Stegostoma tigrinum: one gene and its partners. The protein of the gene in region 2 purifies or fractionates together with the protein of the main gene of each other region. This does not show direct contact. Links are inferred from orthologs where the notes say so. Each region holds a gene or a part of one and is shown on either strand. Other genes may lie near its edges.

Region 1 (3,750 bases), on a different chromosome or scaffold from region 2:
TTGCAGATGGCAGCAATGTCGGAGGATGATGCATTGTATCCGAGGTTGGTGGGGTGGTACGTGAGGACGGGGGGGATTCTGTTTTGATTGTTATTGTGGGGAAGGGGTGTGAGGAATGAAATGCGGGAGACACTGTCGATGATGTTCTTCACCACTGAGGAGGGGAAAGTTGCAGTCCTTGAAAAACGAGGACATCTGGGATGTGCGGGAGTGAATGCTTCATCCTGGAAGCAGATGCGGCGGAGGCGGAGGAATTGGGAATAGGGGCTGGAATTTTTGCAGGAGGGTGGGTGGGAGGAGGTGTATTCTAGGTAGCTGTGGGAGTCGGTGGGCTTGAAATGGATATCGGTTTGTAGGTGGTTCCCCGAGATGAGACAGAGAAGTCCAGGAAGGTGAGGGAGGTGTTAGAGATAGTCCAGGTGAAGTTGCTAGTGACCCTTCCTCACAACAATGTGTTCATTGGAAGAACCCACATTGACTGTATGGGCCGAATTGACACCATCTGCACTGTGACTAATTCTGTCATTTCAACATTAGTCTTCAACCCACTGCTGACTCTTTCTGAGAGCAAATCGAAACTTAATCTCGCTGCCCGTTGTTCTGGAGAATGGAAAGAGAAAATACTTCCTACCAAGACGCAGTTAGAAACAAGCCTAACAAAGTGTGAGGCTGATTGAACACAGCAGGCCAAGCAGCATCTCAGGAGCACAAAAGCTGACGTTTCGGGCCTAGACCCTTCATCAGAGAGATCCTCAGACATCCTCTCTGATGAAGGGTCTAGGCCCGAAACGTCAGCTTCTGTGCTCCTGAGATGCTGCTGGGCCTGCTGTGTTCATCCAGCCTCACATTTTATTATCTTGGATTCTCCAGCATCTGCAGTTCCCATTATCATAGAAACAAGCGTATTGCACAGAACCCGGCCTTCCAGCAGGAGGCGCAGGCACTCAGCAGGGGGCGGAATGCGGGGAGGCACGGGCGGTGGCGGTCGGCAGGGGGCGGAATGCGGGGAGGACCGGGCGGTGGCGGTCGGCAGGGGGCGGAATCCGAGGAGGACCGGGCGATGGCGATCGGCAGGGGGTGGAATGCGGGGAGGACAAATCGGTGGCGGTCGGCAGGGGGCGGAATGCGGGGAGGACAAATCGGTGGCGGTCGGCAGGGGGCGGAATGCGGGCAGGATCAGCCGGTGACGGTCAGCAGGAAGCGGTTTGCTGGGAGTTCCTGTCCCCCGGTTGCTAGGCTGATTAATCGTGCGGCGGTTGATTGAGGGTCAGTGCCGGTGCGGAATTTGCTGATCCTCCCCGTACACACCCACCGGCTTCCGGGAAGCTGGAGCGCGGTCTCGGTCCGTTTTACTGGACGTGGCTGGCGTCTCGGCTAGTTTCGACATTAGAGCCGCCGGTTTCGGGCCTGTGACTGTGGCGGCGAGGAGCAGTTCCCTGGGGAATGATGTGAGGAGGAAGAGGCGGTGAGATCGTGCGCTGGGTGAAGGATGGAGGATAAATACACCAACAACATCATCTCCAGCACCAGGCTGGGCCCTGTGGATGCACCCAGCTCCAGGTAAATGTGTCCCGGGACTGTCAGTGAGCCGATCAGTCAAAATATCAGGAGCGCCAACGGACTACATAGGACGGAACACGTTTTCTTAACAAAGTGGTCAATTACCAGAGGTAATAGATTGCAGAGTGAGAGGGAAACTGAGTAATTTATTCACCCAAAGGGTAGTAGCGATTGGAACTCCCTAAAAAGCTCTTGGAGCTGGAACGTCTCATTGCATTCAACCACATCACTTTGATATACACATGATCCCCCCCCCGCCCCGTCAAAATCCCAGGCCTTATCTTTCCTGAAACGTCAGCTTTTGTGCTCCTGAGATGCTGCTTGGCCTGCTGTGTTCATCCAGCCTCACATTTTATTATCTTTAAACTGTACTGGGCATGACTAAAGATGCAGTTCTCAAATTTAAACAGGTGTGGAAAAATTGATTTGCAGATTTAGAGTTTTCTCATCTACTTCATGACTGTTGTTGGTATTGGGATAGCAGGGTTAATATTCTGTATACTTTTAAAACAAAATGTTGGCATGATCCAAAATTCTGCATGTTCTATTTCTGCTGCTCAATTTCTGTGAGGGTTATGAGGAGTAAAGTAGGAGACAGCATTGTTTTTAAATTTATGAATATTTATTTATATTTATTAGTCAGTTTTAAATTATGTAGGATTCGATACTGTCTTGTAAAATATTAAATAATTATGACTGCATTTAGTTTAAAGTAGCACAGTGATTAAAAGCTACCTTAAAAGAATGAGTCTGACAGCATCTGTGAAGAAAAATCATGTTACTGTTTCATGGCCAGTGTCCCTTCCTCAGAACTGATGGTAGCTAGGAAAATGTCAGTTTATATTCCAGAAGATAGGTTGGGGGGTGGTGGTAAGGAGTAAATGTCAGATAGGAATAGAGCCCAAAGTGACAGAGGAACAGTTGGACAGTCAAAGGAGTTGATAATGATCTGGCTGGGAGGGTGAATTGTTGTTAACGGGGACTGTTAGTAACGAACAATTGGTAGTGTCTAATGACAGGCTATGTGATAACAAGGCCTGGGGTGGGGGCTAGGACATGGGAGATTTTAGGCCCTAAGATTATTGAACTTGATTTTGAGTCTGGAGGGCTTCAGGGTCCCCAAATGGAAAATGACATGTTCTTCCAGCTTGTGGTGTGCTTCACTGGAACACTGCAGCAAGCCTGAGACACAGATATTGGTTAGGGAACAGGGTGTTGTGTCAAGGTGGTAGGCAACTGGAAGCTCAGGATCTCTTCTGTGGGCAGAATGTGGGTGTTTTGCAAAGCGGCCATCCAGCCTACCCTTCGTTTCCCTGGTATAGAGGAGACCACATTCTGAGCAGTGAATACAGTAGACTAGATTGTGGGAAATGCAGGTAATGTGCTGCTTCACCTGGATGATATGTTTGGGCCTTTGGAAACTAGGGTGGGAAGAGGTAAGTGGGGTAGGTATTACACCTACAGCAGTTGCAAGGGAAGGTGCTGTGGGCAGGTGTTGGGAGTGAAGGAAGACTGGACCACGGTGCCCCAGAGGGAACGGTCTGTGCGGACAATGGAGGGGAGGTGTGGGGGGCGCGGGGGATATGTGTCTGTTGGTGGTATCTCACTGGAGGTGGTGGAAATGGTGCTGATGATCTTCTGGATGTGGATGCTGGGGGTGGTAGATAAGGACAAGGGGTCCCCTGTTGCTGTTCTGGGAGGGAAGAGAGGGGTTAAATGCAGAAGTGTGGGAGATGGGCCAGAGGACTCTTTCAACAACGATGCTGAAGAATCCAAGGTTGAGGAAGAAGATTGACACTGGAGCCTCCGAAATGTCTATGTTGGCATCATCTGAAAATATGTGACAGAGTCGGAAGAACTGAGAGAATAGAATGGAGTCTTTACAAGAAGAAGAGTGCAAGGATATATAGATCAGGTAGCTGTGGAAGTCAGTCGGTTTATAGTGGATATTAGTGGCCAGTCTATTCCCAGAAATTGAAACAGATAACGAGGAAGTGAAAGGAGGAGTCAGAGATAGACCAAGTGAAAGTGAGGGCAAGGTGGAAATTGGAAGCAGAATCAATGAACGTTTCCAATTCCAGATGAGAGAGGGAAGCAGCACCGATGATATCATCGATATAGCAGAGAAAGTGTTCCGGGTGGTGGCCAGAATAGGACTGGAGCAAGGAATGTTCCACGTACCTCACAAAG
Region 2 (3,750 bases):
CTGGCCTTCCCTCAGAATTGGGGCATGTAGGAGTAATGCTCCCTCTCCATTGCAGTGAGTTCCTGCAGGGTGCTCCTTCTGTTGCTCAACATGGTGAAGATTTTGTCCATGCCCTATTGTGGCAGTCTTGTTCCATTTTGTATGGAGATCTAAAATGGGACGCCATGTATAACCCTCTCTATAAAGGGGTAAAAATGTACCCAGTAGACACCCTACACCCTAGGTTCGACAACATCAAATGTTACCATGTCTTTTTTCCCAATGAGATGATGGAACCTGTTGGATGGTTCACAGAGCAGAATTTCAAAGTCAGTTGGCAGAATATTTCATTGTCAGAGCTTTCAAAACCATATCTTGGTTAGTGGTAAGAAGGACACACGCTGCTGCAACTGAACATTAGTGGTGGAGCGAATGAATATTTGTGGACGTGGATGTGTAAAGCTGGCTGCTTTACACTCCTTCTGGAATTAATCTTTTCAATCTGGAAACAGATGCAGTGACTTTTGTTGAGGTTTTGCTGAGCAGTAGGACTCTGTGGTGTATGGGCTGTTTCCAGGGACATGTAGCAAGACAAACATAATTGCTCCTGAGGACCATCCACTCAGCTGTAGGCATTCTTAGGTCTGTCTGAAACTTGCTGATCTTCCATGCAAACAGCTGGTGACTGTCGCATGTATTGACTGGCACATTCTAAGGTTCAGGACAATGTGCTGGAGAGGCACACTGTAATTTGGGCCAGCCTCTGCAGAGTCTCAATGGGGAAGGGCCACTGTCTAATACACACCTGCCATAGTGTAGTAATGAGTTGAAACATGCGTAAAACCCCTAAGGCTATATGTCATGCATTGTGTATTGTAAGTATAACTTCCCTGCAAATGCAGGGAAGGACTGCAGAGTGCCATACACTGTACAGAATCGAGAATAGTTGAACTGTTTTTGCTCATTACGTCATGACAAATTTGCACAGTTATGTTAAATACCTTTATAAATTAATACTTTTCAAGATCTATCCATGTCACTTCAAAGTATCAGTCATGCCTGACACTTTGACAACATTACCAAACTGGTTTATCCATTTACAGAGAAAATTCTAACAGAGGCAAGCCACTACAGGTCAATTACAGTAAAACAATAGTTTTGAGTCAGATTACAGAAAGATTTGCAATTCCTCTTCCAAAACAGTAAAACATCCCATAATTCGTGTGAGATAACAAGGTGTGGAGCTGGATGAACACAGCAGGCCAAGCAGCATCTTAGGAGCAGGTAAGGTGACGTTTCAGGCCTAGAAATTTGTGTGGTTCCATTATGAATGGGAATAGTGACTCACAACTCATTCAGAATTTTGTTTCTGTCTCACAGTCGTATCAGTCTGCTTCTTGAAGTATGAAATTGTTTGTTATTTGATCTCTATTACCTTCCACACTACCTCAGATCTGCTCCTGAGATGCTGCTGGGCCTGCTGTGTTCATCCAGCCTCACATTTTATTATCTCAGATCTTCTCTTTTGCTTTTCCTGCTCCCTCCTTCCTCCGACTCACATAAGAATCTGTCCCAAATTGCTTTACAGCCAATGGAGTGTTTTTGAAATGTACTGACACTTATGATATAGGAAAGATGACTAGCAATTTGTATACACTAAGTTGCCATAAACACAAAAGAGGTAAATGACCAGATAATCTCTTCAGTGATGTTAATTCAGCAATAATTATTATCCATCGCTTCTTCAAATAATGCTGCAGGACCTTTGTATCAAGCAGTAGACCGATTATCTCTCAGTCGTAGCATTCTCAGTCTGAAGGTGGTGGACATGTATCCATTATGGAAATAGGATCATAAATTCTGGGCTGACACTTCGATACAGTACTGAGGAAGTGCTGCATTGTAAAATGAAACATGATACCAAAGCTCTGATTATCCTCTCAGCTGGGAAAGTGCAGTTATCACCAGTATCCAAGCCAATCCCTTGTGGAAAATCACCAAAACGAAATGATTATCCGGTCATTATTATTGTTTGTGGGAGCTCGCTATGCACAAGTGGGCTGTAATATTGACCACTTGGTGACTAAAGAATTCCATTGGCTGTAAAGTGATTTGGGATATTGTGGTATACGTTGTATAAAAACAAAAGCCTTGTAAAGCACAGACTTTGCCCTTTCACCCAAAAGCATCACTTTAGAATTATTTGGCACTGACCATCTTTCATTCATTGTTAATAACGCCAACAATCGCTCACAATTTTCATATATCCCTAGCTCAAACTTTAACACAGCCATTACCTCCAGTGCTGTTTCCATTTGACTCCTTGGTTGCTGAATTAAGACAACAAGTTTTGCGTAATAACCAGCCAATGAGAGTTTTGGACCACAGTCAGACAACTGCACTCGTGGGACATCCAACGAAACATAGACATGAAATGGAAAGTAGAGAGCAAGTACCTGGATGCAAGCAGGCACAGAGAGGATTGCAGTTTGTTTGCAGTAATACCAACAGGAAAAGTGTGCAGTCAGCCTGTCAATGAAGCACTGACTGCTATAAGCATTTCCTGTGTTGCAATTGGACCTGTTATTAAAGCTGAACAGTCCCTCGGGCCAAAAAACAATCCATAATGTGAAATAGCTTTCAGCATCTCACTGCCCCCTTGGCACATATTTCGTAACAAAAAAAGTTGGGAGAAGATTGCATCATTCAATCACACAAATAAGCATTGCAACTGGAAATAATTAACATTGAACAACAGGACAAAAGGAACGCAGGCATAGTCATTATGTCAGCAAATGTGGTGCTATTACATCTCAGAAGCATCATACAAGTAGGAGTCGGATGACTCAGTTCCTCTTGTTGATGGTATTCTTGATTGTTTTGAGGGACGCAGGCAGTACTGCCAAAGCCAGCATTTGAGACCCATCCCTAATTACCCTTGAACTGAATGCCTTGCTAGGCCATCACAGAGAGCACATCCTGCACATCCCAGATGTCCAAGTTCTTTAAGGACCGCAACTTTCCCCCCACAGTGATCGAGAACGCCCTTGACCGTGTCTCCCGCATTTCTCGCAACACATCCCTCACACCCCGCCCCCGCCACAACCGCCCAAAGAGAATCCCCCTTGTTCTCACACACCACCCCACCAACCTCCGGATACAACACATCATCCTCCGACACTTCCGCCATCTACAATCTGACCCCACCACCCAAGACATTTTCCCATCCCCACCCTTGTCTGCTTTCCGGAGAGACCACTCTCTCCGTGACTCCCTTGTTCGCTCCACACTGCCCTCCAACCCCACCACACCCGGCACCTTCCCCTGCAACCCAGGAAATGCTACACTTGCCCCCACACCTCTTCCCTCACCTCTATCCCAGGCCCCAAGATGACTTTCCATATTAAGCAGAGGTTCACCTGCACATCTGCCAATGTGGTATACTGTATCCATTGTACCTGGTGTGGCTACCTCTACATTGGGGAAACCAAGCGGAGGCTTGGGGACCGCTTTGCAGAACACCTCTGCTCGGTTCGCAATAAACAACTGCACCTCCCAGTCGCGAACCATTTCCACTCCCCCTCCCATTCTTTAGATGACATGTCCATCCTGGGCCTCCTGCAGTGCCACAATGATGCCACCCGAAGGTTGCAGGAACAGCAACTCATATTCCGCCTGGGAACCCTGCAGCCCAATGGTATCAATGTGGACTTCACAAGCTTCAAAATCTCCCCTTCCCCCACTGCACCTCACAACCAGCCCAGCTCTTCC
Region 3 (3,750 bases), on a different chromosome or scaffold from region 2:
TAATGGCCCCTCAATCTATATTATTCTACATATAAAAAGCAGTGGTAAAAACAATCAAAAATAGGAAGAACAAGCTACAGGACTCTTAAAATGGACCAATATCTTAGGAGAACTGTACACCAATGATGCTAAAGCTTGAATGGGAACATAAACACAAAACAGTTTTAAAATCACATTCCAGCAGCTGTATTATTCAAAAGTGTATTCCACGGAGCACATTCACAAGATAAAAAAGCAACCCAAAAGAAACCTTGCACCCAAAATCAAATAGTTAAAAACAAAATTTGTATCTCTCATTGATTTTTGTAACATACACAAAACCTCTCCAAGCTCACAAAAAGTCTGAAGTGGTGTGCAATCAATACTTTGGTGGCCCCAGAATTAATTCAGCCATCAAAAATATATATTGACCAAGTCCATTTTGTTCTTGCAAATACTGCTCTGGAATATTTTAGATAATTACAAGAAAAATGGAAATGGAAGACTATGTTGACATAAGATAAGAATGGGCTTCTTTGGGATGCAGTTTTTGCTAGGAGTAACACAGCCTTTGAGTTGTAAAATTGTACACAGCTTTCTTTTTTCCTACTACTGCCTTGCAACCACAAAAGTAATTCAAGATACATACAGCTTACATAAAACTATCCAGTAATATACATTTACAGATTGGCTTTGATTACAAAAGAAAATTTGTTGGGCAGTTTTAACATAGTTAAATCAGGACAGCAAAGTTTACTACCTTGTACTATGCAACATCTGACCCGCTGCTTACAAGAAACTACAGAGTTAGTGGTAACGATAATGTCACTGGTCTATTAATCTACATGCCATATTTAGAACAAGAGGACATAGAATTCTAACTCAACTCCCACCCAACTAATAAATCCAGAATCAAAAGCCAAGTTTAATGAAACCAGGCCAATTGTGATAGAAGTCAAAAATCTAGTTTACTATTCACACAACAAAACAAAATGCCTACATACCACTAAGTGGATATGGTATGGAATGCACTCCTCCACGATATGACAGAACAGCTGAAATATTCAAAAGGAAATTAGACTGCAACTTGAAAATGAAGAATATGCAGAATAATGGGAGAAAAAGCAAGGGACTAGAAAAGAGAACTGCTCATTAGGCAGGTGGTGCAGAAACAATGAGCCAAATGGCTTCATACTAAGCTGTAGCAATTTTTTAGTTTTATTATATCAAACATGATTTTATGATGTTAGCAAGAGTACTGACATAAACACCACTCTTTGCACTGTAGGTCTTGCGTTGGAGAAAAGCAGAAAATAGTGTGTACAATTGAAAGCTTTGTAAATGCAAGTAGCAAATTGACATATTGAATACATAGGCAATGGATTTGGACATGCCAAAAAGGATACAAATTGGTTGTTCCGGGTTAAAGTGCCACCTGGCCTAGGATACAATGATACCTGAACAAAGTTGATTAAATATATCTACAAATAGGTTGCGTCGCACACCTCACCACCGTCGACATCCAATACTGTGCTGTTTGGTGAAGCACAAACTGACATAATACTACGTATTAGCCACAAACCGGACAAAGCACAAATCTAACTGATTAGAAATTTAAATTGAGGTTAACTGGCTACTTCTGTGGCTTAAAGTCAGCTCAGCCGTCATCTGAAGCAAAATATACTAAAACAACGCCAAGTAGTGGCACAGAAGAAATACGATTGCCAGTGGATCCCAATTGTGGTCCCTTCACTGGGATTTTTCGGGCGAACTCAGAATTAAAGAGAGAGAGATGAGCTGGCGGTGCGAGTTCAAATCGGTAATGACACTTCACTGCAAGCAAACACAAAGTGAATGAATCTTTCACCTTCCCACTGGGGGCACACAAAGGGTTTTGTTCTTTTCGATCAGGCCGAGATTGCAGACCCGTTCCTACTGAGTAGGGCTGGCCCCAACTTGGTGGTGGGGGGGGGGGGGGGGGGAAGAGGAGGAAAACGAGAGAAATAAAAGGTGTTAGTATCTAGCGTTGGCAACCCGGGGAGGCCCGCTCCCACACGTACCGAATACATCCTGCTTGTCGGGGTTGACACCGTTGATGGTGCTACCGCTGACTAGGATGTTGATCTCCTCCTGGTCGCGGACGCTCGTCCCGTTGCCGGACAACTTCTCGGCTTCGGCCCTCTTCTTCTTGCGGAGCCACTGGCTGCCGCTCTCCGAGCTGGAGACGTGCGAGTGAGAGTGCGAGTGGCCGTGGGCCGTTCCTCCGCCTGCGGCACCACCGCTGCCGTGGAACATGCAGAGTCCCAGGAGGTTGACCAGGAGCCCGGCGGCGCCGACTCCGGTCACCACCAACGCGTTCTGGATCTCCCGCGGCTCGCTGAAGCGCTCGATGGCCTCCAGCACGATGGTGAAGCAGAGCGCCGTAAGGAAGACGGCGTTGACTAGCGCGCCCATCACCTCGGCGCGGATCCAGCCGAACGTGTTCTTGGCAGTCGACTGGGTTTTGGCGGCGAATCGCACGGCGATGAGGGCCACCACTAGGGCGATGACATCTGACAGCATGTGAAAGGAATCAGACAGCATGGCCAGCGAACTGGTCAGCCGGCTCACCACCACCTCCACCACGAAGAAGCCGAATGTCAGCCACAACATGCACATCAGGCGCGCCCGGTTCGGCTCGCAGTCCATCTTTCTGCAGTCTGACAGCAAACGAGCGGCCAACCCAAAAAAAACACAACCGTTCCAAGGAACAAAGGGCCGTTTAACGTTTAAAATAACGGCCGGAATTTAAAACAAAATAAAAGGGGCTGGGAGCAGAAGGAGGCGAGCTAAGCCGAAAGTTCTCGAGAATAGGAAAACAAGCCTTTCATTGTTTCACCCAACCCGTAACTATGCAGACGCTTACAAAAAAAACTTTTGCACCCGGCAAGTTTTCCGTTCTGCGCACGGTATTTTTTTCTCTCTCTCTATTTCAGCACGGACCCATGTCTACCCCGCCCCCACAACAACCACCGAGCCCGGCCTACGGCCGAGGCTGATTGGTTGTAGCCAAGCACTCATTAGGGTTATTGGTCTACTTTGATGTCAATCATTGTCGTCCCGCCCACTCTGCGCACAGCTCCACCGGGTTGGCTTTTAAAAGCTGGTTTGTCTTCCCCTTCCACCCATCCATTGTGGCGTTAGCAGCTCATTGTGCCGATAGTAACCTTCTGACCAATAGGAATAAACCTAGCCCGGGCTTCTGGCATTAATATGACGTTGATTGGCCACTCTCTTCGATTTCTTTATTTATAATTGGTTGATGTAATACCAATTAAATACAGCCGTCGGCCGTCGCCATTGTACTTGCCGTGCGCTATGCTGATTGGTGTTATTCGTCAGGAAGCAGGGCTCCTTGACAATGATTGACAGACGGTCCTATTTAATAGTTTCACACTTATCGGGAAAATGCCTCAAGCAGCAATTCAGTGTGACTCAGCGTTAGTAGACAGTAATATTTTAATAGCTTTAAAAGTTTTAAACAAAACGTTTGGTAGAACTGTATCGAGATAGTAGGAACTGCAGATGCTGGAGAATCTGAGATAACTAGGTGTAGAGCTGGATGAACACAGCCAGTCAAGCAGCACCAGAGGAGCAGGAAAGCTGACATTTTGGGCCTAGACCCGATTTTCTGAAGAAGGGTCGAGGCCCGAAACGTTGATGCTGCCTGAGGATACAAATTGGTTGTTCCGGGTTAAAGTGCCACCTGGCCGAGGCTACTATGATACCTGA

The links.
Region 1: the proteins of csgalnact2 (region 2) and slc30a5 purify together in Homo sapiens (co-immunoprecipitation; 3 studies listed by BioGRID and IntAct, counting the BioPlex papers as one, with this or other methods). This does not show direct contact. The link is inferred for Stegostoma tigrinum from reciprocal best matches to the Homo sapiens genes CSGALNACT2 and SLC30A5.
Region 3: the proteins of csgalnact2 (region 2) and slc30a1a purify together in Homo sapiens (co-immunoprecipitation; 3 studies listed by BioGRID and IntAct, counting the BioPlex papers as one, with this or other methods). This does not show direct contact. The link is inferred for Stegostoma tigrinum from reciprocal best matches to the Homo sapiens genes CSGALNACT2 and SLC30A1.

Annotation. Positions count from the first base shown.
Region 1 is NC_081356.1:109,705,179-109,708,928, reverse strand, and holds the start of slc30a5 (proton-coupled zinc antiporter SLC30A5), read left to right. Parts: upstream 1-1,156; 5' UTR 1,157-1,489; coding exon 1,490-1,560; intron 1,561-3,750. UniProt on the Homo sapiens protein: Together with SLC30A6 forms a functional proton-coupled zinc ion antiporter mediating zinc entry into the lumen of organelles along the secretory pathway.
Region 2 is NC_081390.1:21,179,135-21,182,884, forward strand, and holds the start of csgalnact2 (chondroitin sulfate N-acetylgalactosaminyltransferase 2), read right to left. Parts: upstream 2,397-3,750; 5' UTR 2,277-2,396; intron 1-2,276. UniProt on the Homo sapiens protein: Transfers 1,4-N-acetylgalactosamine (GalNAc) from UDP-GalNAc to the non-reducing end of glucuronic acid (GlcUA). Required for addition of the first GalNAc to the core tetrasaccharide linker and for elongation of chondroitin chains.
Region 3 is NC_081362.1:54,334,427-54,338,176, forward strand, and holds the start of slc30a1a (zinc transporter 1a), read right to left. Parts: upstream 2,973-3,750; 5' UTR 2,668-2,972; coding exon 2,040-2,667; intron 1-2,039. UniProt on the Homo sapiens protein: Zinc ion:proton antiporter that could function at the plasma membrane mediating zinc efflux from cells against its electrochemical gradient protecting them from intracellular zinc accumulation and toxicity.